Linked DNA regions of Lytechinus pictus. Each later gene encodes a partner of the first gene's protein in a complex. Links are inferred from orthologs where the notes say so. Each region holds a gene or a part of one and is shown in the gene's direction. Other genes may lie near its edges.

What was found.
Region 2: DNA polymerase delta subunit 2-like (region 1) and DNA polymerase delta subunit 4-like share a complex: the UniProt entries of both Homo sapiens proteins name them as parts of the tetrameric DNA polymerase delta complex. The link is inferred for Lytechinus pictus from reciprocal best matches to the Homo sapiens genes POLD2 and POLD4.
Region 3: DNA polymerase delta subunit 2-like (region 1) and DNA polymerase delta catalytic subunit-like share a complex: the UniProt entries of both Homo sapiens proteins name them as parts of the tetrameric DNA polymerase delta complex. The link is inferred for Lytechinus pictus from reciprocal best matches to the Homo sapiens genes POLD2 and POLD1.

What each region holds. Positions count from the first base shown.
Region 1 is NC_087254.1:6,786,612-6,797,553, forward strand, and holds the start of DNA polymerase delta subunit 2-like, read left to right. Parts: upstream 1-5,605; 5' UTR 5,606-6,191; exon of another isoform or gene 6,192-6,195; intron 6,196-9,686; 5' UTR 9,687-9,690; coding exon 9,691-9,880; intron 9,881-10,942. Other genes in the region: uncharacterized protein LOC129269026, read right to left, coding at 287-454, 953-1,074, 2,469-2,567, 3,531-3,920, 4,722-4,947, 5,529-5,573. UniProt on the Homo sapiens protein: Accessory component of both the DNA polymerase delta complex and the DNA polymerase zeta complex.
Region 2 is NC_087246.1:32,442,550-32,452,923, reverse strand, and holds the start of DNA polymerase delta subunit 4-like, read left to right. Parts: upstream 1-5,531; 5' UTR 5,532-6,113; coding exon 6,114-6,270; intron 6,271-6,912; coding exon 6,913-6,999; intron 7,000-9,508; coding exon 9,509-9,620; intron 9,621-9,946; coding exon 9,947-9,971; 3' UTR 9,972-10,374. UniProt on the Homo sapiens protein: As a component of the tetrameric DNA polymerase delta complex (Pol-delta4), plays a role in high fidelity genome replication and repair.
Region 3 is NC_087253.1:6,220,221-6,231,418, reverse strand, and holds the start of DNA polymerase delta catalytic subunit-like, read left to right. Parts: upstream 1-6,599; 5' UTR 6,600-6,672; coding exon 6,673-6,691; intron 6,692-6,861; exon of another isoform or gene 6,862-6,984; intron 6,985-9,382; coding exon 9,383-9,598; intron 9,599-10,479; coding exon 10,480-10,605; intron 10,606-11,198. UniProt on the Homo sapiens protein: As the catalytic component of the trimeric (Pol-delta3 complex) and tetrameric DNA polymerase delta complexes (Pol-delta4 complex), plays a crucial role in high fidelity genome replication, including in lagging strand synthesis, and repair.

The sequences.
Region 1 (10,942 bases):
ACCTCGTAACCGGATGAATGTGCATTTGCTCAAAATGATAGTTTCAATGTCCTTGAGTTGAAATTTCACCTCTTCGCCAGGATGTAGCTAGTAGAAAGAGCTCCAGATACTTCAATGTAGAACCATCGTCATAACCAAGATAGCTATGTACTCCAGATTCCAGATGTTACTTTCAAAGTCATCAGGTTGTATATAATAGCCAACCTTTTCACCCTGATGTAGGTGCCTACTCATGATGAATGTCATCGGATTGAAATTTAAAACCAACCTCATCACCAGAACGTAGCTACGTGCTCAAGGTGATACTCTCAATGTCATTGGCCTGTATCTTGGCGTCGACCTCCGCCCCAGCGGCTCGGAATGAGATTTCTGCATCGTACGACACACTGACCTGGGCACAAGTGGCATTCCATAACCATCCTTCTCCTCCGCGCTTGTAGATCGTCACTGCCACCTAAACAAATGAATCCAAAGTAATTTCAGAGTCATTCAAAACTAATTGCACATTTTAAAAAATATTCATGTGAAAAATGACGTGGTTTCTCTCAAGACGGAAAATTCTACACATCAAACAGAAGTCCAAAAATTAGGATTAGGCCTGATAGGTAAATATAAAGTCTTTGCATACTGAAAAAACAAAAACATTTCATTTGATCCAAATCATTACTAAACTAATAATGAACAAGATGAGGATGCTAAATCCAATAAATCAAACAAATACTAGATCTACACAGTATTATTTATTTAATAATATCATACAAATGTGTAATAGCCCAAAATATTGTAATCACTCAAGCAGACCCATTGCAATATATGCAACAAGATTATAATTAATATAGATTATACAGTAAATTGCACTAGAACAGAAATTATGATAACTGGGGGTGATATGGTTGATAAAAGGCAAGTTGATGACTATTAATTAAAAGTATTAATTAAAAGGGATATTTACTTGAGGAGTGAATCCCATGACTGCCCAAAGGGATCCGAGGACTGAGCTACGCTGATGCTTGAATTCCATCCGAGATGCTGTCTTCCTATTCAGAATGAGGTCTTTATTTCCCTTGTAGTCACCTAATAAATGAATAACAATAATGCAATAACTTCTGAAGGTTAATTCCCATGGCAAAAAACGAATCAGTATAGAGGCTTCAGGGTACACCATATTTTTTTTAGTGTACAATTCCTGAAAACAAGAACAAACAAAGAACATTCTCTTGAAGACGACAAGAACACACTCGTCGAAACGTCGAGTTTGAGTGGTCCTTTTCAGGACCAACACTTGCCCAAGAAAGATACATGGTGTACAATGAAACCTACTACACTATTCTTCTTTGCCACGGAAACCTTCAGAAGTTACTACAAGAACAAACTTCCCGAACAATCAAGTTTGGGTGGTCTTACAAAGAGTTGCGATTGATCCGATCAATCACAACTATGGACAGCCATGCAGCAACGTCAACATCTAAAATGCATGAATGTTCAAAATGTTTTCTAGATATGACGTAAGGTACATAAATTCATTGTTTTCTTGACAATTTGGTGTGTTTGCCTTTGTTTACAAGGGACATTTTGCAAATTTTTTGTAGGAAAAATTATGACACTGATGGATCTCCATAGAGTTACAATTGATTGGATCAATCGTAACTCTTTGTAAGACGGGGCCCAGGGCTCCGTTGGATAAAAGTTACTATTATGGTAACTTTGTCATCCAGTCAGTGGCAGACCGTGACCCAGAGGAAACAAAGCATTGGAGGGGCACAGCATTGTTCACAGACAATACAGTGCCTCTCCAATCATTGTCTCCTCCGGGTCACGGTCCGCCACTTCATCCAGTGGTAACTACTTGCACCATGGGAACGCCGATCAACAGCTAATTAGAATCAAGGATTCCATGCAAGTTACCATTGGATTGCAAAGGTACCATAATGGTAAATTTTACGCAATGGGGCCCAGGAAGCCTCTTCACTGAACAATGATGCACTAGTGAGCGATGATCAAAGTTCTAAAATCGATAAGAAGACTTATGAAATTGACCATAAGAAAAAAAAAGTTGGTACATTCTCCATAAAGGACTATCAATAATAACAAAATAATATTCATATAAAAAAGGTTTTACTTAGAATACAGCATTTGGTAAAGAGATATTCACAATATTATTCATCACAGTCAAATTAATTTCAGTCTTTGATTTATTTATTTGCTGATCATCAATGTAATTACCGGAAATTAACTTGAATTGTGAACTTCATTATGAAGGTAGTATTGACCTTTAGAAGCGAGGAAGAAAAAAATAGCTAACTTCTCTCACAAAATGATACAAAAAGATAGGTTCAATTGGATTATCATCTCATTCGGTGCATTATTACTTTCATGGTATCTACATGTAGTATTCACAAATTTCATACAATATTCAAGAGCAGAGTACAGAGTGACAATAATATTACTTCATCCATTGAATTGCTCACCGATTATTTGTTTTCCACCATGTAAATGCACTATGTCCCAGGTTCCTATTTGGTTTAACGCATGCCTGGCCGATTCCATAGCACTGTATGATAACTGACCTAAAACAAAGAGAAAGAGATAAATACTGTACTTATCCAGGATAACTTTAATCTAAAGTGACCTTACTGGACCCGTTGGTAAATAATTCTGGTCAAATCATTGTTTGAAATAAACAGAGCTAAGTTCAAGCGTTGTGGATTTGAGTAGTCTAAACACTATCTGGAAATAAAAATTATAGACTTCAACAAATTGTATACTATATTTGTATATCGATTGTAATTGTGTACCATACTCAATCAGACTCAGAAGCAAAGTCCAGATGGTCAATCTTTATTTCACTGCATCTCAAGAAGGGAAATTAACTTGACATAAAGAAAATTAAAGAAATCAGAACTTATTGGAATAGTTTGTATACATTTACATTGTGATCAAAGCCTATCTTTTTGGTAGTATAGATACATGTTTACATATTTGTCTCAAAATCTCCAAGCATACATGTACTGTCTACTCTCTAGGATAAAGATATAGAATGACCAACACCAGAATTTTTTTTTTTTTTTTTTTTTTTTTTTTTTTTGGGGGGGGGGGGGGGGTACAAAAGAGACTTGTATGCCCCCATTTTTAAATTTTGTGGATTTTGTTTTTGCTTTGAGGGAGGTACAAAAGAGGCATATGCCCCATTTCCCCCTTTTGAGGAGTTTTAAGTATTATTATTATTTTTTTGGGGGGGGAGAACAAAAGAGGCATATGCCATATTTTCACCCTTTTGAGGATTTTCATTTTTTTTTTTTTTTTTGGGGGGGGGTGTACAAAAGAGGCATATGCCCACAATTCCCCCATTTGAGGATTTTTTAATTCTTCATTTTTCTTCTCTTTTTTTTTTTGGGGGGGGGGTGCTTCTGATTGTGGTGACCTTTGACCACATTTCTCTTTTTTTTAATAAATTTATCATCAACGAGTTCTTGCCAAGGTAAATCCTGGGTCCAGCCCTAATCTATGACAACTTAGATGGAATTATATACCTGTGATAAAAGAAGGGACGATAGACCCGGCCACCTTGCCTGTGTAGCTCGACTTCAGTGAATCCAGGAACAACGGGTACCTATCGGGGGTCACGATCTCATTCTCTTTCCACAACGAATTATCCAACTCCGATTTGGGATTCATCAAAACTACCCTGGAGAAGAAGAATTTCTCTGCCAGACAGGCTTCATTCCTCAGCAGATTGTTCCTGATTAGCCGAGTCTTAGATTTGAGTTCTTGGAGGATATTAGTGTGTGATTCATCGTAGGTCACACTTGATCGAGTGTTAGAGTCTTTGACGTTTTTTTGTCGGACCCATGATTTGCCGTTTTTGCTCAGTGATATCTTCCCAGACCAGTTTTTGACCTCAATGCAGTAGATTCCATACTCTGTCAAAAAGAGAGAATACACGTGCCATGAATTTGAAAATATCTCTTTCATCTGCCGATGTAGTACTAAATCAAACAATTTCTTTTAAGAACTCAATTATTCATTCATTTCATTATATTTTCATTCATCTTCATGTCATCTTTTATTTTATATCATTTGTATTGTCACTTTTTATTGATCTTTTTCAAGTTAAATAAAAAAAAAATATTACTATCATTATCATGGTACATGTATTTGTTGTTTATTTCTTATTTACATGTATTTATTGTTATATAAAATGGACATGTTGACTTGCAGCCCAAACTGGGGGTCAATAACTTAAAATACAATATGATTACAAGGCAAGTTTTTGCAAAATAACATATAAGTACAGTATACAGAGTTGCATTAAGAAAGGAAATCTACTTGCAGGATTTTTATCATTATTATCTTAAATATATTTGTTCTTTTTTTTTTTTGGGGGGGGGATTCACCTTTAAAACATTGCAAGGAGCAATTCCTAAGAGATAATATCTGCACATAATCAGATAATGCTCATAATTTGTGGGGAAAAAAGAGTAGAAAACCTATGATTCGTGAAGATGGTTGATGTACACAAAAGTATGTTCTCTTGATTAAAACCCCGTTCAAACAATTTTGAAGTGATCGAAACAAGTACAGTACCAGTCACCGAATCACTATTACCTGTTTCAACCAGAGAACAATAGATTTGGTCCACTGATTCTATTGTTCTCTGGCTGAAAAAGGTAATAGTGAGTCAAAGAATTGTGACTGGTAGTACTATTGAAGGAATATTTTACCTGTCAAAATGACAACATCTATTTCATATCGTCTCGTCTGGAATGTATCGGGAACCCTAAGACCTTGGTAGATGCACGAGGACGGCACCCCAGCTCTATGGACAAGGTCTTTGATTAGACTTTCTTCTGCTTGTCTTCCGGCTTTCACCGTTTCATCCTCATGATGAGAGGCCGGATTACTGGCCTCCTTGGCTTGAACTAAACGGCTGGTGAGATTAAACATGACCTGCAAGAGCACGAAAGGAAGAAAACAAATAATTAAAGTTAAGCTTTTTTGAGATATTTCCTGTCAGTTTAGAAATTATATTTAGGCTACTCATTTTCTTAAACATGATGTGTATGTGAATTGCCCCTGTTATGTTTGTAACCGAGATGTAAACCCAATTTTAGATAATGAATGAAAAAACAAACCACCAACAAAATTTATCAATATCAATTATCATAAACAATTATTGCTCCAATCAACTAAACCTAGTAGATCTACTACTATTTTTGTTTCAAAATTAAAAATAGTATAAACTACTTATCAAAGGAAATTCCTAAACCCTGCCTTACATATTATAAATATAGTTAAACGGAAAAAAAGAGAGGTAAAAATCATGAAAATTCCTGACTTGTCAATCAATGTTTACGAAAATATGAAGACAGTAATCAGTATATAAAGTCAAACTAATTAAGCTAGTATAGATCCTTGTCTGTGTCCAACAATTGGCAGGTTTGTGGAGAATGATAAATTGGAAACACACAGTCTAAGTCTAAAAAAATTACAATGCAAAAGTACCCTAAAAGTAAAAAAACTTAGCCAACCGGGGAAAGCCCATGGCCTTGGCAAAGAGACATTGCGAAATGCATTGCAATCCTCATCTTCATCATCGACTCGTCTCACTCTCAGTTCGTAATTCGAGCAGGCAGGCCGCAGGCAGCTGCAGTTTGTTCATGATCATGATAATAAAATGATTATACTTACGACTTTTAAAACAGAAATTGAAAATATAGCTCTTATTCGTTTTAAATCATCCCGATCTATCGTATGGTAACGTTTGAAGAGTGCTGAAATGCCTTATTTCAAACCTGTTGGAACAAAGAAAGACAACGATCGCCATCGACCAGCTGCGTGATGTAAACAATGATGACGTAACCACAAGGAACAAAACATTATTCAATACTATTTATTAAATTTCAATAGCTTTTCTACTCTATGGAGTCGAATATCATTTTGATGTATATCAAAAATATATACAATACATTAAATTATTTATTTAATGATATGAGAGGTAACAATTGATTTCGAAATATTATTCAAAACTATTCTTAAACAACGACTTTTACCAAATTACATATTGGACGCGGGAAAATCCCGAATTCGCAGAGTTCGCTTGATTAACCTATGGCTATGCCGTGCGATTAACCCCAGTGCGCTCCCAATCCTCGGCTCTCCATCTGGCATCGATTTGACGAAGCGTAGCTGAGGTAGGTACGTTAATTTGAAGTTGCGAATATTCAGAAATAATACCATATTTTATGATACATGATAGCTCATTCGGCCTCGCGATCGAGATTTTTAGGAATGGATAATTTAGCTTGCCTTGCTTCATAAAAATGCAAACATGAATTTCAGTAAGTGGGACTGCAGCATGCAGTGACTCTAGTTTTATTAAAGAAAGACAAGACTTCTTCTTCTTCTTCAAGCTACACTGTCTCCTTCAATCCTGAAGATTCTTGCAGTATTGTAGTACCGGGGACCGGCAGGTGCAATACACCGGGTGAACACCCTCCTCTTTGACGAATAGTGTTTGACTCACTTTGAGTGCACGAGCATGACGAGTGCGACTGAACCGTTAGATCATCTAATAATCTACTTTTTTTTGTAATTTATGTTTATTGATCCTTTTCATCAAAATATACATAACAAAACATTCATGATATAATGGATCACATATAAAACTAAGTTCAGATAACCGCATATAAAATAACATGTCTAACTCTAACTTAAGTAGTATAAGATAAGAAAACATATGACTAGGCCTATGTTTGTTTACAACAAAAGAAATTCAGGCACTTGGCCTGGCCTATAAAAAAATAAACATAACAAAAACAGCCTTCTGCTTTAACGCCTCTTTAAAGTATTCAGAATGATAGCCCACTTGCCATCATGTTTTCCTAATTTTCATTTCCTTTGTGCTATGGTATGTTCAACAGTTTCAAATGATAAAAGAAAGTTACAAAAATGGTGGAGAGTAGGTTTTGTTTCGTCACATCGACATCTAAATACATTGTTTACCTGTCAGGAGCAGAATGTTCAATATAAATATATTTCTGGGACTTTGGGGCTTACAGATACCAAAAAGAACATATCTTTCTGAGAGGAAATCAGGAAGATCTAGTGAAGCAAAAAGTGTACCAGTTAACATTATTCCAAAATTGGTTAACGTCGTGGCAAGAATAATAAAGATGCATTAGAGTTTCTGGTGATACTTTACAAAATGTACAAAGTGTATCTGTTACCTTGTTAATACGGAATAACCAAACCTTAGTAGGAATCAAATTATTAAGAATCTTGAATTGTAAAGCTCGAAGTCTCGTATTTATAGTAGTACGTAGAGGTAGTTTTAAGAGTTCTCTTACTTCTTTCTTGTTGAAGCCCATAAGTGTCTTTTAAATATGTAAATATATTCGAAATTGATGGGTTATTTTCCTTCAAAAAAATGTGTAAAAAATATACTTTGGTACACCTGTTACTTCTCTAGTGATGCCATCAATAGTTAAAGTTGGAATCAATAAAATGTTGTCGACAATGGGATGAAAGCTTTGAGATAGAAAAAATACTTTCCATTTTGATGGCATAAACTTGTAACAAATGTTAAGCCTTTATTTTTAGCATCTTTCCATCTTAGTGGTCTGCCATACTCATCCAACATATGTAACACTTTAACAAAACCTTTGTTTTTTTATCTCTGGCTTATGAAAAGATTTTCCATTTTGTAATATGCATCTATTATTCCATATTATTTGGTCACATATTTTTATGTTTTTTGAAATACTGTGCTCCAACTAATCATGACATCTTTATACCATTCAGGAATTGTCAGTTTTAAAATATTAAGATCATAATTACAATTAAATATAAAGTCACCACCTACATTTTGAAGCAGTGTCAACAGGATAATCTTCCATCCCTTTGAATTGGATGTCAAAACTCTAGATCTACTACTAACTGTTGATAGATCTAACATTTTGGATCTTTATTCAATATTGGAATTGAATAAAGTTGAACTGAACTGAACTGAACATTTCTAACACATTATATCTATCAAGGCCAGGCCAGGAATTCCAGAACATGAAATTAAATTGAGACTGAGAGAATAAACGTTGGAGACTAACCGTGGCGTTGTTATTAGATGATAGATCCAATGGCAATGCCATGGGCTATGGCAATGGATGATAAATGTGTAAAAGTTTGAAAACTGGTGAATGAAATGAATTAAAGATGCAATGGTTTTTTCATGGTCATGATTTTGAAATTAATCATATGGTTGATGATGATGGTGGTGCGGTGGTAGTGGTGGTGGTGATCATGGTGGCGATGAAAAAAATTATTTTACAAAGAATTTGGATGAGAGATAGACCTGGAAACTCATCAAGATGATGATGGTGATGATGATGATATTGTTTTTGTGTATTCAGATCAACTTAATTAGCTATTGACATCACAAAGTTATGAAAGTAATATTAGTAAAGTACATTTGCCTTACGCTAAGAAAAATAACCAAGCAAATTATCTAAAACCTCCAAAATGAGTAACAAACAGATTTCAGCTGTCAAGATTTTGATCACTCCAAAAAAAAAAAAATCATGACTGATGACTCTTAATCTTTTGGGGAGATCAAGATACTATTTACACACATGAATCATATTGATATTAGTTTTCTATCTTAAAATTCTTTTGGACGAAGTACATGCTCAGCAATTTTTACAATCCTCTCTTTTTTTAATTCCTGATAGCTCAAGACAAAAAAATGTTACCTAGATCTAGACCCCTATATCTTTTTAGGAGATAAAGACAATTCACAATGTTGATCATCATGATTATATTTCCACCTCAAAACTGTGTGGAGATATGCTTTGTTGTTATTTCTAGAATCTATCAACTTTAAAGGCGTGTTTGCTAGGAGCCAAGCATTTATGACTTTATTATAATGCCTTGCTTATCAAATATCTTCTATTGTGGATACATTTTTACTATCATATCATGTTCATTTTACATGTGTTCTAATCTTTGCAACAAGGCAATAAAACCCTGGATTGGCAAAATCAATAATAATTTTCCTCCATTTTCAACAAAACATATTTGTTATATTTTGTGTAATACACAGTTTTCAAGGATGCATTCAGGATGAAGTCACATTTGTGGTTTAGCCTGACAGTATTTGATGCAGATACCTAGAAAAAAAAAAAAAACTGGCAGTTGTTGCTAATTTGAAACAAGTAAAGTTGATTGAAAAAAAATCCAAAGAACTCATTGTCTTAGATACATGTTTAATGGATGATAATCAGGACCCCATTGTATTAAATATTAACATTGTTGTAACTTTGCCATCCAGTGGTAATTTCCTTTAAATACTTGATTTGGGTTGGCTGTTGAGCATTTTTGGCAAAGTTTCTGTTATGCTGTAGGCCCAACAGATGAATGAAGATACCTAGTCAATTATACTGAATGATGATTGGTTGATGTAATAAGACTGTTTTTTAAGCACAAGTACTTCAGTTGAGTAGACATTCTTGATTTGTTTGTATTTAGGATTTATTTTAAACATCTATTTTTAAACATCTATTTTCAATTCAATAATATTCAAATATTATTATTATTAATTCAATCAATCATTAATCTATTCAAAATTTTAGTGTCTATTGTAATCTCACAAGACCCATATTCCTCATTATCAGTTTTCTTATATTGTTTTGCAGGTTTATGATAATAAAGACAGAAATGGCGTCGACCGGACAAGAAACTTTTCAACGTTTGTCTTGCGACTACGAAAATCTGTCTTCTCGATTTATGCTGCAAGATCGGAACTACCAGAGACAGTATGCACATCTGTACTCAGAACGGTTGACTCTTATGAGACCTGCCCTTGAGGAATCGGCTAGGAGGAAATGGGGTAAATGTCTAGTGTGTTAAACTTAAAGCGGAAGTTCACCCTGACAAAAACTTTATTGTAAAAATAGCAGAAAAAATAGTTTTAAAATGTTGCCGAAGGTTCGAGAAAGCTCCATCAAAGAATTAGAAAGTTGTTAGAATTCCAATTATTTGATTTGTGACGTCATATGCCAGCAGCTTTAGTTCATATATCGTATGGTAAAAGTCAATGAATTGTTGTTTTCTCATAAAATTGAAAAAGGTTTTTACTGTACCAGTGTACCTTCAGTATGTCAATAGACAAATCATTTCTCACCCGTTCCTAAAAAGAAAACAAAATAAGTCATCACGAACCATTAAATTAAAATTTATGCATTTTATATTACATAACATATGGGGAAGCTGCTCGTTTATGACGTCACAAGTCCAAAACTCAAATTCTAATAACTTAATCTTTAATGGATTTTACTCAAACCTTCAGCAATATTTTGTATTATTTATCTGCTATTTTTACAGCATACTTTTTCTCAGGGTGAACTTCCCCTTAAACCCTAAACAGGCCGGGGGGAGGTCGAATCAACCTCCCCGTCAATATTTTCTGCGATCATTCCGCCGCGCGAAATTTTTTGACCGCGCCACTCGCAGAGTTTATACTTTTAAGTCTCGCGCATCTTTTGAGACCAAATTTACGATGCCCAGGTACGCGGTCCCGAAATTACGCAACATTTCGTAAGTGCATGTCAGACCAAAAATTGTTCCAAAACGTGATTTTGTGTACAAAGTCAATGCAAATTGAGTTTTCTTATCTTATTCATAAAGATATGATTATTTTTACTTTCAACAGCTGAAATCAATTGATTTTAGCATAATTATGATTAAAAAAGGTTGTGCAATAAATCTGGTGAAAAAAACAAAGAAAAACAAAAGGTTGAAAAACAAAGAAATACATAAGAAATTCATAAAACAATAAAATACATAAGAAATTGATTTCCAAACCGAAGTTTTTTAATTGCGATTGTTAAGAATGCTACAAAGAATAGTTTTACCAAAAATTAGCAGACTAGGAGCTTTATTTAGTGAATTA
Region 2 (10,374 bases), on another chromosome or scaffold:
CCATATTTTTACCTTCAAAAATCTATTCAAGATCTATTCAATGCAATCCTATCCATTTGAATTTGTTTTGATTTCAAATAAAATTGATACATGTAACAACATATTGAACGTTTTTTTTATGATATGCAGACTTTATAGATTAAACTTACGATCATGAAAGTTCATCTGTGTTGGTTGAAAATAAGAAAAGATTAAACTTTTGCTCTCAACCCAAAGAAAAAATCCATGAATTACCTCAAAATTTTTGGCTGCTAACTGCAACCTTCCTCAGCGATGACCGAAGTAACCCAATCTGACCCTGTGACGTAGCAATCGATAGTCGGGTTGTATCGCCCTCCGTCCCTATTGAGAGAAGGTTTGAATGCCCGGATGTAAATCGCTTCTTTCACACCTCTCTCAAATTACTGATTCCTTGAACATCGAAGCCCTAGCTTCACTTCTTAAGTATCGCAGCACATTCACATCGAATCACCTGGACATTAACAAGGTACAAGTGCTGGGGGCCATTTCATAAAGCTGTTTGTAAGTTAAGAGTGACTTTAAGAACGACTGGTGATCCTTTATTGTGGTAAATGGTATATTCATTGGCGATGGTTACGCACGTAAGAAAGGTTCACCAGTCATTCTTAGAGTCGCTCTTAACTTACGAACAGCTTTATGAAACGCCCACCAGGACAGGGTGCTGCGGTACTATTAGAGAGGGATTATTAGGGTTAAACTGCATAATGTAATTATATGAATTCGAGATTACCTCACAAGATAATCAGATAATGCATGTAATCGGTGTCTTATTTGTGTGTTAACATCAGCTAAAAATAAGCACTTTTTGAGAAGTTTGTTTTACATTTATGTGGTTGAAACCACTGAACCTAATGCACTTATACATGCATGTTAGATTCTTCATCGATCCATCTAGGAATGCATGTATGTTATAATGTGCAGACTTTCAGCCACATTATCCTTTCATTGATTTTCTTTTGATACATAATTAGAAATATCTATTACAAATATCAGGGGCATGTTGTGCTAAACCTGACTTGGATGATGGTGATTGGTGAGTTCTGCATTTAATGATGATGATTATCATCATCACAATAATTTCTTGAATTTGGGTTATTTCATATATATTCATTCGATTGATTTCTCATCTTGTTCAATGGCAAATGTATTCATTATATAATGGAGTTTGCATTTTTATTTTGATATTTATATTTGTAATTTTAGTTTAAAAAACAACAACAACAAAATTGTACCGTTTGTTAGACATCTAAAATACGTATAGGCCTACCGTAGCCCATCTGTTGCTAGATTTCTTCTCTTATTGACCTGGTTCCAAATGTTTAGAACATGGTTTAGATATTTAGAATCAGGCCAATAATACACTTTCTTAATCGGGGCTAATTAGATATTCATTCAGAGATATGATACAAAACTTAAAAGACAATGACATGCGAAATATTATTTTTTTTACAATGTCAGTTTTTCTTATCTTTAATGATATATTACCTCTTTTGTTCTGAGTATCAAATTTGCCATCACTTATATTTTTCAAATATAACAAAAAAAGGCTGTTAATTGTGAGACAAATGTTCAAATAATGGAAAAGTTGTTAGGCGGTAACTTATTTAATTAATTTGAATAATCTAATAATATTCCAATAATATTCCAAAGCCTAATAAATAGTTTTGGACAAAAATACTGTAATTCAAGCAAATATATTTCAAATACTAGTGCAACACATCTTTCTAATCACCTTTTTAAAGATATTTGGATTTCAAAATTTAAGTTATTAAAAATATTTCCCCCTTTCCTGTGAAATGTGATATTGTATGAAGTTAAATGCAACTCGATTCTATCGCAGTGCTACTTATATCGTTAAGAATTATTTTGTCAGTATTACATGATTGTGTATTCTGATTTTTGTTGAATGTTGGTTTATCAACTTTCAATAATAGATCATTATCTGCATATAATATCCCTGCGAATCTATATGTTTTAATATTTATTACTCTCAGTGTATCCATGTACATGTAGGTCAGTTCATTCTGTAAGTCTATGGCAGAATTATTAGAGTTTGTTCAAACTTAGACCGACAGAGCTTAGCAACATTTATGTACAATTTCAATGAGGCATTTCAAAATCGTCCAAATTCTGGATATATATTTTGTTGTGTGGCTGGCTATCAAAAGCTGTGGGCCAGTCAAAATGATGATGATAATAATAATACTAATAATAATAAACATAGCCTAAAAGGATTCTTGTAAAAAGTTGTACATCCAAATTCTTGACATCATCAGAGTAATATGGCATGATATGGTATCAGAATTTTTCATTTTTCAGGACTTTGTTTGTGCAACTTTGGGAAATAATCTGGTGAGAGATGACTTGTGTCGTGGGAGTTCATGAACACAAGTGTAATATTTGTTTCACCACTGAACATTGTCTGAACACTGTAAACAATATTGCCGAGCTGTGTCGTGTCATGTCTGAGCCAAAGTTGAATAATAATTCATGTCTGTCATCTACTTAATTACTCCCTCCATGTTCGATATCTTTCGTATTTCATACACCTGAAGGTCTCACATCCTATATGCCACTGTATCCAACAATTAATGTTTGTATGAATTAATATACTTAGAACAAATCACAATTGCACTGTTTGGAATTTGTTTCTATGTGTGTAGTAGCATGACACTTTGAGGAGTGTTGCAAGAATGCATTTATGGTGTTAAACCATAGCAAATGAAATGATACTTTCTGTTGCAAGATTCAAACCTACAAACAGTTGCAAGACTTAAGATTAAAGTAAGGACTTAAGTTTGACTTGCAATTGAATGCATTTTTGTGCACCATCCCCTTCATGAGTCTTTATCACCTGTGTAGATTATGATCATCTTTTTTTTTTACTGGAGGATTATCGGTACTTGTATATATTAGTAAAACTATAAACTTTCATCATCATATATAATGGCATATGCAGTATATTATATGTATATTTGTAAATTATTCGATTACCATGTGCAATGTAGCATGTAATGCCCAATACGTGGAAAGTAACCCTATATAATATATCCAGACTAGCATTCTTCATTATTTTCTATCTTTCTTTTGTTATATGTGAAGGGAAATTGATTAATTTAATAATTTATACCGTTCGGTTTGATAGAGTGAATCAGTTACCATCAGTTATTAGTTAGGTGCTTGATATTACAAATGGGAGAGAGAGAGAGAGAATGGTGTAACTGAATTTTATGTCTACTGCTTGAGAATTCCTGATATACAGTATTTAGGGAAAACTGGGGGGGGGGGGGGAGGGGGTGCTTTTCACAAAGATTGATTTTAGTATGACTTAAAGGGGTGTTGCAAGAAACTTGCGATCAATGGCAAGTCATTTTTTGGTCCCTAAATCAATCATATGTCTTGCAGTTAATTGCAAATTAGTGATTGATTGCTAATTTGCTCCTTGAAATAAGAAGTTTACTCTGGTTTGCTACAGCTAACGTTGATCTATCAGTTGTAAAATTGCAACAGAACATTTGCAATTGATCGCAAATATTTTCTTGCAACACCCCCTTAGAGTCGTACTTAAATGCCTAGTTGCTTGCGGTATAAAAGACATGCAGATCAGATCATGCCAAGATGATGCAGACTACTGCGTATTGATTAAAAAGATTGCGTGTGGCATATCATGTACGTGTTGATATTTAAGTGTGACTCTAAGTCATATGTAAATCTTTGTTAAACATCCCCCCCCCAGGTTCTGTTATTCAAGTGAATTATATAGATAATGAAAACAGAGATTTGATTTGAACTGTCTTCAATTTTAATAATAGTTTGTGGACAATCAAGGCATGTTCTGGGCATGCAATGATGGAAGTACCTTGTCCAGCTCATAACATGGAATGATTATTATGCAGAGTCCACCATTTATTATGAGAGCATTCTTTACTAACCAGTGAGTCATTGCTTCGCATGAACAACAGCCTGTTATTAAAATAAAAGTTAAATTTTGTTCAACAGTAACATTGTGAGATTCTACCTACAGACTCTATCCTGACATAATTCTGTTGATACTAATTCATAAAATATAATATTCCTATTTTAAATGATAATTTATTATGTCTTTTCATGGTTTAAATATCTTTTTAATTCTATCAATTAAAGTACATGTAGTTAGTAATTAGTTACAAAGTATGTTCTCTAATAGATAATAGAATGAAGATTTAAAAAACCTGCCAGGCTTTGTTGTGCTGAGTTTTACACTAGAATGGGGAAAAAACAACAATTGGTTCCATCAAACAATGTTTTACAGATAACTTGAAACATGGGATTTCTGTTCTGTACTCTGTTCTAATATTTCCCTTCATGACGAGTGTCTATTATATCAGTTACAAAGATTTTAAATTGTCATTTATGTTTGTTTACATTGAGAATGTATGTTTCAAGTACATTATTTTAATTTGAGGATCAGCTAGATTGTGAAATCATATTCCACTATGGGATAGTTCTCTACCTAGCATCTGTTTTGTGTGTCTAAAGTATTTTTGATCCAGTTTATCCATTACCCTACCTACTTGTGCTGTAAAAATGCAATTTCAAGTTTTCTTGAAGATTCAGCGATTAAATTCCTGAAAAAAATGATTTTTTTTTTTTAAATGGACATTATGTGTTTATTTCATTGTGTTCACTTGAGTGGCCCTTGCCCCCCGCCCCTTCTCCCTCATTCGTATGAGAGAGAAGGCTCATTCTTGGACATGCAAACTCACTATTATTTTAAGTTATTATGATTCATTCAAGTCTTATCAAATCCACTGTTCTTCCCCCCCCCCCCCACCATAAGTGGTCTTGAATACGAGAGAGAGAGAAGTGATTGAGAAAAGTGGAGGCCCGTGTTATATTTACAGGTAAATTTGCATTTGTCGACATTTCATGAATCAACACTTTTAGACCAGATGATATTCTTTAAGTCGCCAGATTTCTGAGGTCATGAAGGATGTATTTTTAAAGGGGGAGTTCACCCTGACAAAAAAGTTTATTGTAGAACTATCGGAAAAATAATTGTAAAAATATTGGTGAACGATTGAGGAAAATTCCTCAAAGAATAAAAAAGTTATTAGTCTTAATTATTTGATCTGTGACGTTATATGCAACTGGCAGCTTCAGTTTCCGTCACATTGTATGGTAAAAAATCAATGAAATGTTTTTTTCAGAAAATTGAAAGTGGTTTTTAATATAGCTTCAGTATATCAATACACAAATTATTTCACAACTACTCCTACAAAGAAAATAAAAAATAAGTCATCAAGAACCATTAACAAATTAAATTTATGCATTTTATATTACATACCATAACGGGGCATTCAGCTGCTTGTTTATGACGTCACAAATCAAAAACTTGAAATTCTAATAACTTTCTTATTTTTGAATGGATTTTCTATAAAACCTTCAATATTTTTCAATTTTTTTTCTGCTTTTTTTACAACAAAGTTTTTTTTTTTCAGGGTGATTGAGCGAAGAAGGGATTGGTGTGCAGTGTACAAGGGAACAATTTTAAAAAGAAAGATTGTAAGCAGGCGAGGCTGTAGGATAGTGCGAGTCACTGTTCTTAATGCCAGTTTTTAGTTACAGTATTTCCGCTATTTATTGGCGAAATACAGTAACAGATAAGTGAAATATATTAACAAGCTATTTTCATTGACTGACCGTGCTTTGGCATGATAGCAGACGACGCTAACAAGGGTAGATAAAGAATAGACAGTCTTTTCATATATCCAAGTAATCGCAGTCAAAACTTCATTTCTTTCTTTTTTTTTACTCTTTAAGATCACGTTGTTAATTGTTATCATTGTCACTGTTGTACAATTATAAAATTCGATCAACAGAGCTATGATAATACACACTTAAAACGGGATATCTGAGCGAATTCATTGGGAGTTCCATCGACAGTCTATTATCTTAACTCATAACTTTTAAATACCCACGCCACATGTTATGACATGTTGTTGTTGTAATCAGCTGATACCTGCCAGTCCATTTCTGAAGTTTGTAGCACATGATTCATGAAAACATCAACGATTTCGATCTGAAGGTAGAAAGTTAACCTCTAGCAAAAAATGTCGAGCAAGGCAGTATCACAACAGCTAATCACTGATCAATTCAGTCAGCAAAAATCAGGACGCATTCTTGAGAAGTCAAAGGGGAAAAGCAAGCAAAATGTAGCTGTTCGAAGCCCCGCAGCAAGCCCGAGGAAATCAGAGAGAACCATCGAAGGTGAGTACCAAGCGGTAGCCGAAATGTACCGCGTAGCCGACATGTACCGCGTAGTCGATTACGATCGAGAGCTGTAGTGTCGAAGGCCAAAAGACCGGTGTTTATGCCAAAAACATTTAAATATGTAAACATTCTGTTGTCGGGCTTTTACTATTATCATATTGCATTGTCGATTGTAGATTATCATAATTTGTCGCAAGAAAAATCAAAAATTGTTTTAACTCAACTCTTGCCACAATGGGAGTACCGTACTAATATTTCAAGTTACTTTTAGATTTAATTTGTTTTCTGCAATTCTTTCTGTAAGTTTTACTTAGTGTGAAGTTACTTCAATTGTTAATTCTAACTGTTATTGTTAATGGTATTTCCATGGATTTCATAATGCCTTGTTGGGTATGCTGAAAAAAGAAAAGAAGATCGCATTTCTGGCTTAGAAATCTACCTTTAATTTTATTTATAAAAAAATTATAATCCAATGTCATGATTCGATTACAGAATACAGATCTATGGGATATAATGTCTTGTGTGTGTGTGATTCCTCATTCTAACAGTATGTATACAATCGATTATAACGTAGGATTCTAAAGTTACTCTGAATTTCTCTCAATTACATACAATCTATTTAATATTTTGTTCATTTAGTTGAGAGTGCTGAAGATCTTATCAGAAAGACAAATCTAAACACACTCCGGGAATTTGATCTGGATTGGAGATATGGACCTTGTACGGGTAGGTTTGCCATATGCTTTCACATTAATTTTTAATATGTAATGAATCTAGTGATAGCCAAAAAGAAGGCATGAAAATTCATTCAAATAAATATCATCTATATCCAGTGATGGAGCCCAGGGTATGTGGCTTTGACTTACAAAGAGATACAATTGATATTAATCTCAACTACATCAGTATCATAATTTTCATGCAGCAGTGCACGCACCATCACAAAACAGATTCAAAACAGAATTACAGTCATTTGGGGGTTACTAAGGGTGAATACCCCCCCCCCCCCAACCCTTGCCGCACTACAATCCACTTTGATACGCTACCAAGATGGAATGCGTGGCTCTTCAGTAAATTCAATAAGTTAATGGCATAGCTCATTGAAAACAAAGGAGTGCACCTATTAGTCCATACAATGGTGCATGGGTGATATTTGAAATACATTTTGATCAAACATGCATTCTATATAATTGGGCCACCAGTTTTCTGTCGATCATGCATTTGATCAGATCAACAGTACAGTACGTGTGTCCTTCTGAGACAAACTCAATGGTTTCTGAGCTATGAGGCTGCGCTTATCACTGAACATTTCATAAAAGTTGTTATATAACAAATTTGCAATTAAAAGCTCCTAGAATCTTTCAATCTAATTGGCTGATCATGAATTAGTTATCAAAATTGTGCATTCTTTATTGTAACAAGTCTTCATGAAATGGGACCCAGATGCCGAGGACAATTTAGGCCTCCCAAATGTTGTTTATTATTATTATTATGTTATTTGGCAAAATATCAAACAAGTCAAATACAATGATAAAAAATAATTGTTACAATAACACAATGATAATACAGTTAACACAAAAAATGATTAAACACTGGATTCATACGGATGAGCTGCCAGGCATTGGGCAAAGTTAACCAAATAACTATAGTCCACAGACCGCCCTAACCCATACCCCATCCAGGTGAATCCACTGTAGTATTTTCATGTGAAATAAACATAACATGCATTTGCATTTAAATTTACATATATATGAAAACAAAGTATTAAATTACTCAGAATCTCAAAGCATAAAATCATGCAAACAAATATCAATAAATACACTGTATATTAGCCTACAAGGTAAAAAATTAAATCAAAGGGAATATGCTGCGAACAATTATCTAAATCACTTTTGGTTGGCTTTGACGTGTGGGTCGGTAGGAGATTGTATAAATTGCAATGAATAATTAAAATTGAAAGTACTGTGATATCTTGGCAAGCAACCCAGCATATATTCAATTTATATTGCATTTAATGTAACATGCTAAATACAACCCCCTGAGATTTAAACTGCAATGAACATGCAATGAACGATACTGCTATTGGAATATTGAAATATTGAAATATTGAAATATTGAAACACGATTGGATATAAATAATGGCCAGTAGTTGATAGAAGATATATTATATATAAAAAGAAACGGTTAAATACATCATAATAAAATATAGATAATTCTTAAATACATAAATATGGTCATATCAAATTTTTGACACTTACTTAGAATTGACAAGATAGGAATTTAGGTGATTGCACCATGTTTAAAGAGACCCAGTAAGGATAGAGTTCCTCAGGTCACAAGGTAAAGAGTTCCAGAGTCTGGGGAACTCATGAATTGGGCTGAAATGCAACCCATCTTTGCATTTAAAAAATCAATGTGGGAGATGATGATATTGATATCATAATTTATAGTACCTGTTGTTCGAGCAGGTTAATGAAAGTGCGAGCAAATCACTTAAGAAGTATCTGGACTAATCTTTTACAATGTGCCTTGTTGAAAAACTTGTTTTGAAATTGATCCCTTTTGCAGACATGCCAACTGTTCCCTTTTTAGAGTATTTGTTCCTCTTTTTTGCTATGAATACACCAATACTTTTTTTGTATGATTTGTTTCTCTTTTTTTTTTCTGATCATGGAGTATGTATTATACACAGCGAATGACACTTGCGCCGGTCCGACAGTCCCAGACCAGTAAAAATCACTGTCGGGCCAGTAACTTGTTGCATGAAAACAACAACTAAATTCTCACCTATGAGCACATGTTTAAAAGGGTGAATTATCAAGTTTTCAAGTAGAGTCATTTCACATGTTTTTCTCACCGATCTCACTACAACATGCTGGCGATTGTTATGTTGAGCCAAATTTTTTAAAATACTCTTTTTTTTTGTCAAAAAATACTTTATTTTTCCTTCTAAGAATACTTTTTTGGTTGTAGAAGGTTGGCAGGTCTACTTTTGAATGTCATACATTCAAGTTCTTATGGAGTACATATCTGTCTTGAAAATCCAACATTTTTTTACCTTTGACAATTGCTCTGGACTTCCCTTTAAAATGAGAATTGCAATGTGGTTATTGAATGGTTAGGTTAGGATTAGGGTAATGTAATTGTGTTAGATCTTGGATTGATTTTTGTGTGCTGTATGGAGGGGGGTAACATGATTGTTGTTAATCATGTATTTGTATTATTGTTATTGATGTAGGAATCACTCGTTTGGAGAGATGGGAAAGAGCCGAGAGCCATGGTCATAATCCTTCACCTAATATCAAAGATCTCATTTTAGAATATGAAGATGATGAGGAGTTTGTCCAAAAGTAAGTTGAGGACTTTCTTAGTACCCCCACCTCATTTCTATTACTAGTAGTTTAGATTTCTATTGTTTCATTATCTTGTGCAATGTTCATTTATAATATAGTTCATGTATGAAATTAGAACGAACTTCAAAGCTGTTTTCTTCCTTGTTGATTTAGTTTATCCAATTTGGATTATAATTCTTTACTATGATACTGAAAAATTGAAGTTAATAATTTCAACATATAATTTACATTGATTCCATATATGTGTACATATATTATATATTGTAATTTAATATTGATTTCATTCATTTGCTTATTTTAAAATATTTTGTGTTTTCTTTCAGCATCTGGTCTGGATACCCTCTATGAATTGCCGTCACCTACCCAGATACTATAACTGGCTGACATGCATGTAAATTATGTGACTGTGCCAAGGATTGCAAAAAACTCTTTGTGTCGCCATGTACATGTACATTCCAACAAAGATCAAATGAACTCCAATCTGAGCGCAACGTTAGGACTCATCTTACTAACAGATCATTCTCAGATTCAGATATGCATATGTTCTCTCTTTCTCACTTTCTGTCTCTCTTTCTTAAGTAAAATTTGCCATTACATGTAATGCAGATTTTGACATTTTGCCCAGAATCATGTTACATGGGATGGAACTTGAGAACTAATTCCAGTTATAAATCTGAAGTTTTAATGGCATTGGAGATGTTATTGTTCATTTGAATTCAAATAACTCTTGGAAGAGTGGCAAAATGTGAAA
Region 3 (11,198 bases), on another chromosome or scaffold:
TGGGGCAATCACTGTATTACGTTACTAGAGTATGTTCTAAATTTTCATTATGATTTTGTATTGTTCGAATGTCCATGATATGGATGAAGGTTCGCATGATATGTATACAATTATTGTGGTGAACATTTATTATAAAAAGAAAATAATTATTAAAATTATTTGAATTCCTATAATACAATGAATTTTGATTTTATTTTCATACTTGTCTTAATTGTTGGAGTTGTAGGTTTGTGGAGAAAGGAGAAGAGGAAGAAGGAGGGAAGAAGAGAAAGAGGAAGCTTAGAAGAAGAAAAAAAAATAAAAAAAAAATAAGAGGAAGAAGATGAAAAAGACAAAAAAAATGAGAAGAGGAGAGGGAAAGGAAGAAGAAGAGGAGGAAGGAGAAGAAGAAGAGGAGGAAGGAGAAGAGGAGGATTAAGGAGAAGAAGAGGAAGAAGGAGAAGAAGAAGAGGAGGAGGAAGAAGAGAATAAGGAGAAGAATAGAAAGCGGAAGAAGAAAAGAATGAAGGAGAAGAAGAAGAAAAGAGGAGAAGGTCTCGGAGATCGAGTGAGGAAAGAGGAGAGCGAAAAGAAGTTTCACTAAAGTGTAGCCAAGGGAAAAAAATAATTTATAATTAGGAATTAATTCAAGGATCAAGACAGGGGCGGGGGGCAGTGTCAGTAAAAAAAAAGAATCAGTCTATGGTCTATAAAAACTCGATCTCAGCTAATGTGATCGGTTAAATTGATTTTTTTTTTCTTTCTAGAGCTCTTAATTTTCAATTTTCCCCAAGTCACTCAACTCAAAGGAGAATGGTCGAGAACAGAGCCAAGTTAGAAGAAAACTCTAGCTGGGGTTAATTGCGAAAAAAAAACACATCATCAGTTACTAGCTGAAAAAAACCTTTTTTTGAAACTTGAATAATGAATTAATTGAATTGTAAATTTCATCACCTCTATTTTACGTGTTACGAAAATTAGAACCCCCGGCCCCTCCCCTATATAGTGGGTTTTCGCCCAGCGTCGTACGACGTAGAACGTACGTGTGCAAAAATCGCCAACTTTCATGGAAACAGAGGCCCGAGTGTTCTTGAGCTCAAATCACGGACGGTTCTTCCGCAAATTAGCGGGCGTCCGCATTAGAACGTAGGATTTGTCAACAGCCGTCAACAGCCAATCAGATCGCTTGTAGAGCGAGCAAGCTGAGCCGATCGATGTAAACACATTCGCCCATCGCGTGCATGCACATGTTGTACTCTACTCTGACTACACTGATAGCTGAAAGCTTCAAAACATGGACTCGAATGCGAGTTTTTCGGTGAGTACCATTTCAATTATACTAAAATCAAGCTAAGTATAATTTCAAAATGTTACAGTAGAAGTTTAAACGAGTATGATTATTGAAATATGATTGAAAAGCCGTTGCATGGCTCGGTCGACGACGCGACTGCAAGACACATGGCACTGCCAGTTGTGTGCACATAGTAGGAACATATACAATGCACATGTTGGCGTGTCAACATTACATGCCAACCATGCCAGCCGGTCGATCCGGCCGCGTTCAGCGATTTGCGAAACTGCTTACAAGCGAGAGTTGAGCGCGACGGACGCACGAACAAAGAGATCGTTCTACGTCGTAGATAGCGTCGTACGACGCTGGGCGAAAACCCACTTATATCTCTATGACGTACACGTACTCGACTCGTACTCAAAAACAGGAAGTCGTTTGTCCCGCCGAATTTAAAGATTCCGCGGCGCGCGACAAACAAGTACGGTATATGGTACGGCTACGTGTACCGTATAATGATTAGGAGCTGGACGTCGGACCGGGAAGTTTACTGTCTTACTAAAAACTAAAGTTCAGTATCGAAATTGATGTTGCCTTGCGCTATTTTGTGAGTATGTAGTCTAATTTCATCTTTATATTATTGACGATGTATTTATTATTATTAAGAGGGTCTGAGAGTACTATTTATTCCTTCAACTGTCAGTGTCGTGATCTTTTTGAATAAATGAACGGATACGCGGATACAATTTTACAAGTTGCCTGTCTTAATAAGAAAGTTAGAGTCGGTCCCACACGCTGTAAATTGTGTATCGGACCCAGTCCAGACTCAATCTGATATTCTCAACAAGCATCACGATCACTCCTAGTACCAATGAGGTCCAACATTACATGTATGGACCTCATAGGCGACATCAGTAGTATTTTTGGTTAGGAATCTCTGAGAACAGGATATTTATATATTATAGGCCTATCACAAGTACAAGCTATATTCCTTTCTCTTATTTAAATTATAATTTTATAGTGTAAATGCATCGTTAGCAACAACAAAAAAATGAAAGAAATGAAGGGGAACTTACATTTTCACGGCTTTTTCCTGATTTTCTGGGCAGCTGCTCTTCTCTTCTGACTCGTGATCGAAGCTGATATGAAGATCACGTGATTCGCGTTCTCGTCAGCTGATCGGTTGGTTATTCTTTTCGTCAGACGTTAATAATATATATTTTATAATGCTAGCATTCATCGCTAATTTAGGTGAAAGAGATTGAAGTTAAACAGCGCCAGGTCGGAATCATAATTATTTTGGAAGAGTGTATTTATACACTCGATCTCATACTAGGGAGACCGCGCGGACGTCAATTGCATTCCGCCTTTTGTTACACGCCGCACGGACCTTCAACGAGCAGCTCACAAAAATACGACATGTCTCTCATTATTTTGCCATCACAAAACAAAATAGTCAATATATATCAAAATAAGCCAACAACATCATCATCAAGTATATTCTCAAGCTAATCAATGTCGAAATAAAAGAGATCATGGTGTTTTATCATGCTTTTGAAGCAACGGAAATGACCCCTCACTCACCGGTTTGAACAACGGTTCGTCAGCGCGAGCGCTAACACACGCAAATTCGCATAGGTCGCATTTCCCCTCGAAATGGTCAGAGATTTTGGAGCAAAATTCCACTTTGAAGCATTTTCGACACTTGATCCTCACATCGTATGATCATGATCTATATACCAAAAGAAAGGAAATAATTTGCTCTGTATACTCATATCGGTTTACAATTCACTCGCTTTCGCCAAAAAAAGATATAATGAGAAGTAACATTCCTTCTGCGATAGCGAGAGTACGATTAAAGTCTCTGTACGTAAACCGAGTCCAGTTTGCATTTTCGACGATGCTGAATCCGATTATGACATCATTTTTTCGCATATCCCTGAGGATCATGTGTCGGATTGCAATTCAAAATACCCTTACCATGCGAGTTTTTGAACAGCGAAAAAAGGGCGTGGTAAACCCGATGACGCCAGATTAAATACGCGCTTTCTTAATGACGTCAAGCGGTCCCGCGCCTATGGTCACGTGCCCAACCGGCGCGAGAATTCAAAGTTCATCGCGGGTGTCGCTGTGCGCAATGCTATGGAGTTTCAATGCAATTTTGTCTACATGTACTTTGTGAATGATCGTGAGTGTATCGCTTACACACATGCACGTGGATGATTTGCATTTGCACATGTAAACTTAGTGACTCATCACTGGTGTAATCATTCAACCGTGCATGTATTTTGATCTGTCCATTTATCATCCCATGTTTTACATCAATCTTTGAATTATCTTTGGTCGATATATCAAAGTCTCGCGGCAGCAATCATATTCAACCAAAACAACAATGTAAGTGGAAGAAGACAGTCCAAATAATATTTCATCAAGATGCATCAAGGCCGGTGTGCTACCGAGACCTCGACATTTTTAAATATTTTTTTTAATGAATTTTCGAGCCGGCCAGACTTTGATATATTGACCAAAGATGATGCAACCAGAGAGAGAGAGAGAGAGGGGGGGTTGAGAAGAGAAGAGAGGGAGCAGAAAAAGAGATAAGTTAGATGTAAGGGGAGAGGTCGGAGTAGCAGTGTGATGAGAATTTATGTAAATTGGGTAGAGACCTCGGGGTAGAGACAAGTTCACGTTGTGTAATTGAACAAAAGAGATCAAGCAAAAAAAAAATTGAACGTTGACCATGCTAAATTATATAGTCCTGGATGATGTCAAAAGTCAGAAGGCAGGTGCAATCTACCCCCCCCCCCTCCACCAACCTGTACCTTCATCGGCACAAGAATTTAATTGATAGAATAATAATTTTGCTGTCCGTCTTCGTATATATCCCTCGAACTTCGAAGGATGATAAAAAAAGCCGTCTCTAAGTCCAAATATTTTGCCCATTTCCCGGACTCATTTCTTCATACTTACAGTAGAAAGGCTCTTATAATCCTATATAAAATGATTCCACTTATTCCATATGGAGAGTGTCCTTTTTTCAACCATGGTGTTGGAGGTACTTGTATACCTCTCCATGATTCAACTCTGATCGTGATTCAGCTGTGCATGGACCTTTCGTTGGAATATCCGTTACCATGGTGACCGGCGGCCAAGATAACATGCAGGTGGTCATTGTTTACAAATATCTGGAGACTGAGAATGGAGGTTAAATGCCGCGTCATTCCCAGGGGTCCATGTTCTGAACATGGAAACGATTGTGGTTGAGCCCCGTTCCCACGGTAGTTGCAATGACGGAGTAACTATAATCATATACATGTAGTAAGTTCTTTGGATCCCAGTTTTCAAAGCCTTCACAAATCATAGGAAATTTATCAATTACAACTCGCTATCTACGACAAATATAATAATGACTGTGTTGGAATCAGTTACAACCAAAATGCTAAATAAAAAAGAGGGGTTAGTTATATTTGAAGGGGTGAATCCAGGAATTACCAGAACGGGGGGGGGGGGGGGGGGGTACGCTGTTTGGACGAAAAGAAGTTGGCTGCCACTGTGAAGTTGACAACTCGATAATTTTCTGACAATCAAGCAAAAAGAAATCAAAATGGAGTGGATGGAAACTTGTCGCCCCCCCCCCCCCCACCAGCACTGATTAAAAGCATTTAAAAACAATTTTCAAGAAGAATCAACGAGATCACGAATAAGAAAGAGAATCACACATTAAAAAAAATCAATTACATGCAGAATTGAATTCATAGAACAATAATTTTGCTGGCCGTCTTCGTATATATCCCTCGAACTTCAAAGGATGATTAAAAAAAAAAGCCGTCTCCAAGTCCAAATATTTTGCCCATTTCCCGGACTCATTTCAGTCATTATTTTTCTTCATCTTAATGCTTACAGTAGAAATGCTCTTATATATAATCCTATATGAACTGATTCCACTTATTCCAGATCGAGAGTGTCTTTTTTTTCAACTATGGAGTTCCCTCTCCATGTTTCAACTCTGATCGTGATTCAACTGTGCATGGACCTCTCGGTCCATGAACTGAACATACGTTGGAATGTCCGTTACCATGGTGACCAGCGGCCAAGATAAGATCATTGTTTACAAATATCTGGAGACTGAGAATGGAGGTCAAATGCCGGGTCATTCCCAGGGGTCCATGTTCTGAACATGGAAACGATTGTGGTCGAGCCCCGTTCCCACGGTAGTTGCCATGACAGAGTAACTATAATCATATTAGTTCTTTGGATCCCAGTTATCAAAGCCTTCACAAATCATAGGAAATTTATCAATTACAACTCACTATCTACGACAAATATAATAATGACTGTGTTGGAATCGGTAACAACCAAAGTGCAAAATCAAGAAGGGGGTTAATTATTTGAAGGGGTGAATCCAATTATCAGAACGGGGGGGGGGGGGGTGGGGTTAACGCTCTTTGACAAAAAGAAGTTGGCCGCCACTGTCAAGTTGACAACTGGATACATTTCTGACAATCAAGCAAAAAGAAATCAAAATGGAGTGGGTGGGAACTTGCCCCCCCCCCCCCTCCCACCAGCGCCTGATTAAAAGCATTTAAAACAATTTTCAAGAAGAATCAATAAAATTGATAAAAAAGAGAATCACACAATTAAAAAATCAATCCCATGCTGAAAACTACATGCTGATTCTTCTCATTCTTTGCCTCGCCCCCCCCCCCCCCCCCGCCCCATCTCGTCTCGAATTTTGGGGAATACCTTTTTCATGAGGTGATGATTAAACTTTCTCTGTCTTAGCAGATACACAACTCGATAATGTACTGCCACATCACATGCAAATCACAGACAAATGCCAGACTCTCTCAGACCATGTCAGACATAAATATAAACAAAGGAAATTTCCACGCCGTGTCGTGAGCCACGTGGGAAGGTACATTGAATGGACACACTTTTGATGCACACAAATAATCCCAGACACATTTCATCATAACCTCTCAAGCATTGGTTCTGGACGTTACGATCGCGTCTCTTTCCCCCTCTCTCTCCCTCTCTCTTTCTATGCATTGCATTCGCTCGTGACATGGCTTGACCTAAACCTGACCTAAACGCACCCGTACGGGTGCGTAACTCGAACTTTTGAAGACAGTCGGGGTCAAAGTAATACATATTCATGACCGTGCAGCGTAAAAATCATGGCGCGCTGACATCATTAGCAACATTCGCGGAGACTCCTCCTTACGAGGGAGGCCTTCATTTCCTGAATTGGACGTGAACGCGTATCGTGGATGACCATATTTTGGGAGGTTTTTGAGCTATTATTGGCGGAAAAATGTCAATTTCTCTTCGCTTGTAACTTTGCAGTAAAATGGAATAACTTCAAGAAATTCGGCAGTTGGTATGAGTGAAATTTTCCCTATAAAATGATTACAGTCATAGCACGTAAGTCCAACCCTATCCAAAGATAAAAATTAGGTCCGGTCTCCCTACTCATACCTGACGTAGACGGCGCTATTCAACAAATGCACAATCTTCAATATAAAAAATAAAACAGAAAGAACGCCTTGAACACAGGCCAAAATGCCTAACGATTTCTCCGCGGCATTAACAACTATCGTAAAGGGCGCTCCATTTATCAATAAAGATGGATGCTAAGCTGTCTATGGCGACAAAATTTGCCGCAAATATTTACGAAGAATTGTGAGAAATGGTCTGAAAATGCAACAAAAGAACCGGTGAGTACCGATTAAACATTATCAATTTATTTAATAGAACATATTTAATTACTACAATGTAACAATTTCTAGATAATATTGCTTAGTTCTAAGCTAGGGCGGCCCAAATGCGCGTGAGTGGAGTCCCAGTTTATTAGCACGGGTAAGTACGTATAGGGGTGTCGCCTAGAGTGATCACGATATCTTCATTTTGCCAGCAGATATTATCATAAAAAATATGAGTTCAATGTAGTACTTTACTAGATCTATAGCATTTTGTCGTCAATCTGATGTGGTAAAATTAGGGATATTACTAATAATAAATCCTGTGAGGGAAAGAGGGTGGAAAGTGGGGTTAACAGAAGGAAACTGTCTTTACCTACTCACCAGACAGGAGTTGGTGCAAGGCACGGTGAAAATAAAGATAAACCAAAAAGCAGGCCCAAAGTAACTTGTAGATATGATTACTGGTGTGAAGTATTCTTGGTGTAGATGGCTAGTATTGGTGTGATGTATAATTGCCGCAGCTAGTTGAAACTCGAAGGGCGAAGCAAAGGTAGATTTGTGTAGAAACACAGACGTCCTCGTCTCGCACCGGTCGACTATCAAGTGATCATCAGATCCCTTGGCTGGCCTGACTATGCAGCTATGCTCAGACCTGAGTTGTGCACCCAAGCATGGATGAATGCACAGGGCTTGGGGGTTTGGGTCTATTGTTGTGTGCACACAGCCTCTAGCCCATAGTACATGTATATTCTATGCTCCAACCAAGGAGGTGGTTGCTCCAACCCATCCCACAGTACTACATACTATGTAGGGAGCAGTCGCGCGTGCCCCAGACTGTGGTACATTTTACCACACTGATATAGCCTAGGCCTAAATATCTTATTCTTAATTAGCTCACCTTTTAAGTTTTGAGCTTGAGTTTTTGTTATTATCATTATGTTAATTAACTCTCCACAAAAACTTTGGTCCGTGAAGTTAGGTCACACTTTTTTAGAATGGTTTTCCAGCACAGCATGCATTCGTCTATCGGAATAGAATTTTGAGATCGCGATACCGGCGAAACCCCTTGGCCTTGACCTAGAATAGATCTATCTAACAGTTACATGCAGTAGAGAGGCGCACGGCCAATATGGGAGACTCTCTCCAATAGGGGAGACAATCTCCCACATTGGAGACTTGCTTTGCAAAAGGACAAAAGAAACGACACCAACAAAAGCATGATTTTTTCACCCAAAATTTTGTCTCACTGAGGTCAGAAGCCCATTTGTTTTGTGTGTGATTGACAACAAAAATCCTTATCAAAACAAAAGTAGACGGTGAATTTTTAAAGTAGACGGTGAAAAAGGGTAATTTTTCATGAGGAATCTGCTTATCACATTTTTATTTGCCGCCAAGTTAATCTTTTTGCAGCAAATGTAAACAAAGGAAATTGGACTCCAAAACTGGAGACTGTCTCTGATATTGGATACCCAAATTCTTTACAAAAGTCTCTGATATTGGAGATAATCTCACACATTGGAGACAGTCTCCAATATTGGCCGTGCGCCTCTACTGACATGTAGATCTAGGGCCTAGGGCTAGGCCTACTTCACATTTTCGTCTTATAGTTCATGATAAACAAAATTGATATTGCCGTCATAATGTGGAAACTTTTCTTGAATTGGTTTTGTACAAATTGTGAATATTTTGTGAACAAATTTAAGCCTGATGAATATTTTTTGAAAGTCCGCGCAGTTTAGACACCCCATCATACATGCCGCCGTGCACAGGAAAATTGAAGGCCCGGCGCATGCAACACTTGCATGGGATTGCGCAAATTTAAGATGGCTTTAATAAAATCAAGTCCTTCTACGAAACTGAGCGAACTATGTGAAGTCAATTTCCCCTAATATCGTGAATATCCCTAAAATATTTTTTTCTTGATGACGAAATATGGAGCTTTCATGCCTTTTCCTATTTTTTTCGTCTAAAGAGGGCATGCGATTTATCTTCATAATCATATCAAAGACACTACAAGTAAAAGACTAGATCTAGGCACTAAACTATTTTACCCGTAAATCGATGCAAAGCGTTACGCGAAGTCGGCCAAGTGTCCAATCTTTGTATTGTAAGACTTTGATGGAATGTTTGTTGACAAACGAACATAGGTTCGTACTGCTGGATTCGTTCAAGGCACGTAGAATTTTCTATTTTTTGTTTAATTTGTCATCGCTCTGGATGTGTTACGTGGCTGTATGGCCCCCATGGAGTACTTTTCCTCTAGCTTGTCTTTGTGGCAGCATACAAAGAGCTTTATCCAGCTTTTTTTATAACAATGGATTAAAAAAAGACACCAAATGTTGCCAATTGGAAGAACAAATGTTGATTGGGTTTTTGAATAACCAGTCTTGTATTGTACATTATATATGATCAGAGGTTAACGCCACCATCATGGATTCTAAACGCAAACCAGGGGGCTCTGCTCGAGGGCCTGGACCCCAGTCAAAGAAGGCCAGGGTCCAGGACTTCGAAGACCAGGACCCATCGGTATTCGAGGAAGAGCTGGCCTTGATGGAGCAGATCGAGTCTGAGATGGATTCTCAGGGGACCAATGGATCTGTTGGAGGACCAGGACCATCAGTTAACAATGGTGAATACATTTATATTATATTGACTGGCCTTGAGGGGTACATCAAATATGTTGCCCGCAACAGAATCATATTGGCCCGAGTCTTTAGACGAGGGCAATATGGTCCTTTTATTAAAAAAGGGCAATACATTTGTTTCCAGAAAGAAGTGCCAGTCAATAATTATTGTTGCCTACAGCTGTATTTATGTGTAATTCAAGCTATTATTTAGAACAATTTATATACCTGTTTGCTTATAAATAAATACCTAATTCTGATATTAGGTTATTCAAAAAATTGGCGAAGTAATCCTTGCCATGCAATTGTGATGTACATGTACCACGCAGTTGCGCTTCATGCATGGCGCGCACATACACTAAATGCGTACAAATCTTGCGCTTGGGTTTGATTAGCTGGGAATGCCTATGCACTTGCCGCGCATTATCTACAATGCGTTGGTTCACAAACTGGTTCCAACCAGATTTTGCAGGTACTGAAATCAGCGAACAAAATCGCCTCCTACTGCGCAAGCGCACTAGCAGAAATCTGGCCAATATTGCCCTCATGGCGTGTTTTCCTTCAGCAAGAAATTTACCCACATTGTGCTGCACTCACCCCAGGTGAGGTGAATGGGTACCTGCTTGGAAGAAATTCCGTGAATGCTTGAGCACCTATAGGTAGCCGAGCTAAAGCTGGGGTAGTAATAATAGCAGGGCCCGCTGGGAGAACAGTTTTCGGAACTGAAGTGGCTACCCTGGTGAAATATACTGTTTAATTATTATCATTATTATAATTACTGTTTGAAAATATTTTAACTTTATATAAAATGACCAATGCCTTGCATGTTTCCTGAACTACTATTATTCTTATTATTTTTTTTAATCAATACTTCATATACATGTAGGTGCCAATTTGCAGAGACAGCAGAGTACATGTCGGCATCCTAAGTGGCCTCGCCCTCCGCTGGCTCCGATCGACCCCGCGAAAGACTCGATCGTATTCCAACAGATTGATCTGGAGCATTATATTGGTAAGTATGTAGCCTTGTAGGGATAATTTTGCCCGAACGTCTGCATGGACCAGACATGCCAACCGTTCCCTTTTTAGAGTATTTGTTCCTCTTTTTTTGCTATGAATACACCAATACTTTTTTGAATGATTTGTTACTTTTATTTTAAATCTCCAATCATGGAGTATGTGTTACACACAGCGTGTGACTCTAGCGCTGGTCCGATGGGCCCAGACCGGTAAAAAATCACTGTCGGGCCAGTAACTTGTTGCATGAAAAGAACAAGTAAATTCTTGCCTACAAGCACATGTTTAAAAGGGTGAATTATCAAGTTTTCAAGTAGAGTCATTTCACATGTTTTTGTCACAGATCTCACTACAACAGGCTGGCAAATTTTAAAAATACTTTTTTTTGTCAAAAAATACTTTTAATTTTTTTTTTCCTTAGATAAAGAATACTTTTTTTGTTGTAGAAGGTTGGCAGGTCTGACCTACTCATTACTACTCAACTAAGCAAATTTAATGGTAAAATATGGAGAACTTTATTAATTCTTGTTTTATGTATGTGAGCATGTGTTCAATATTGAATCTTTTGAAAGTACTCCTAAATTCCTT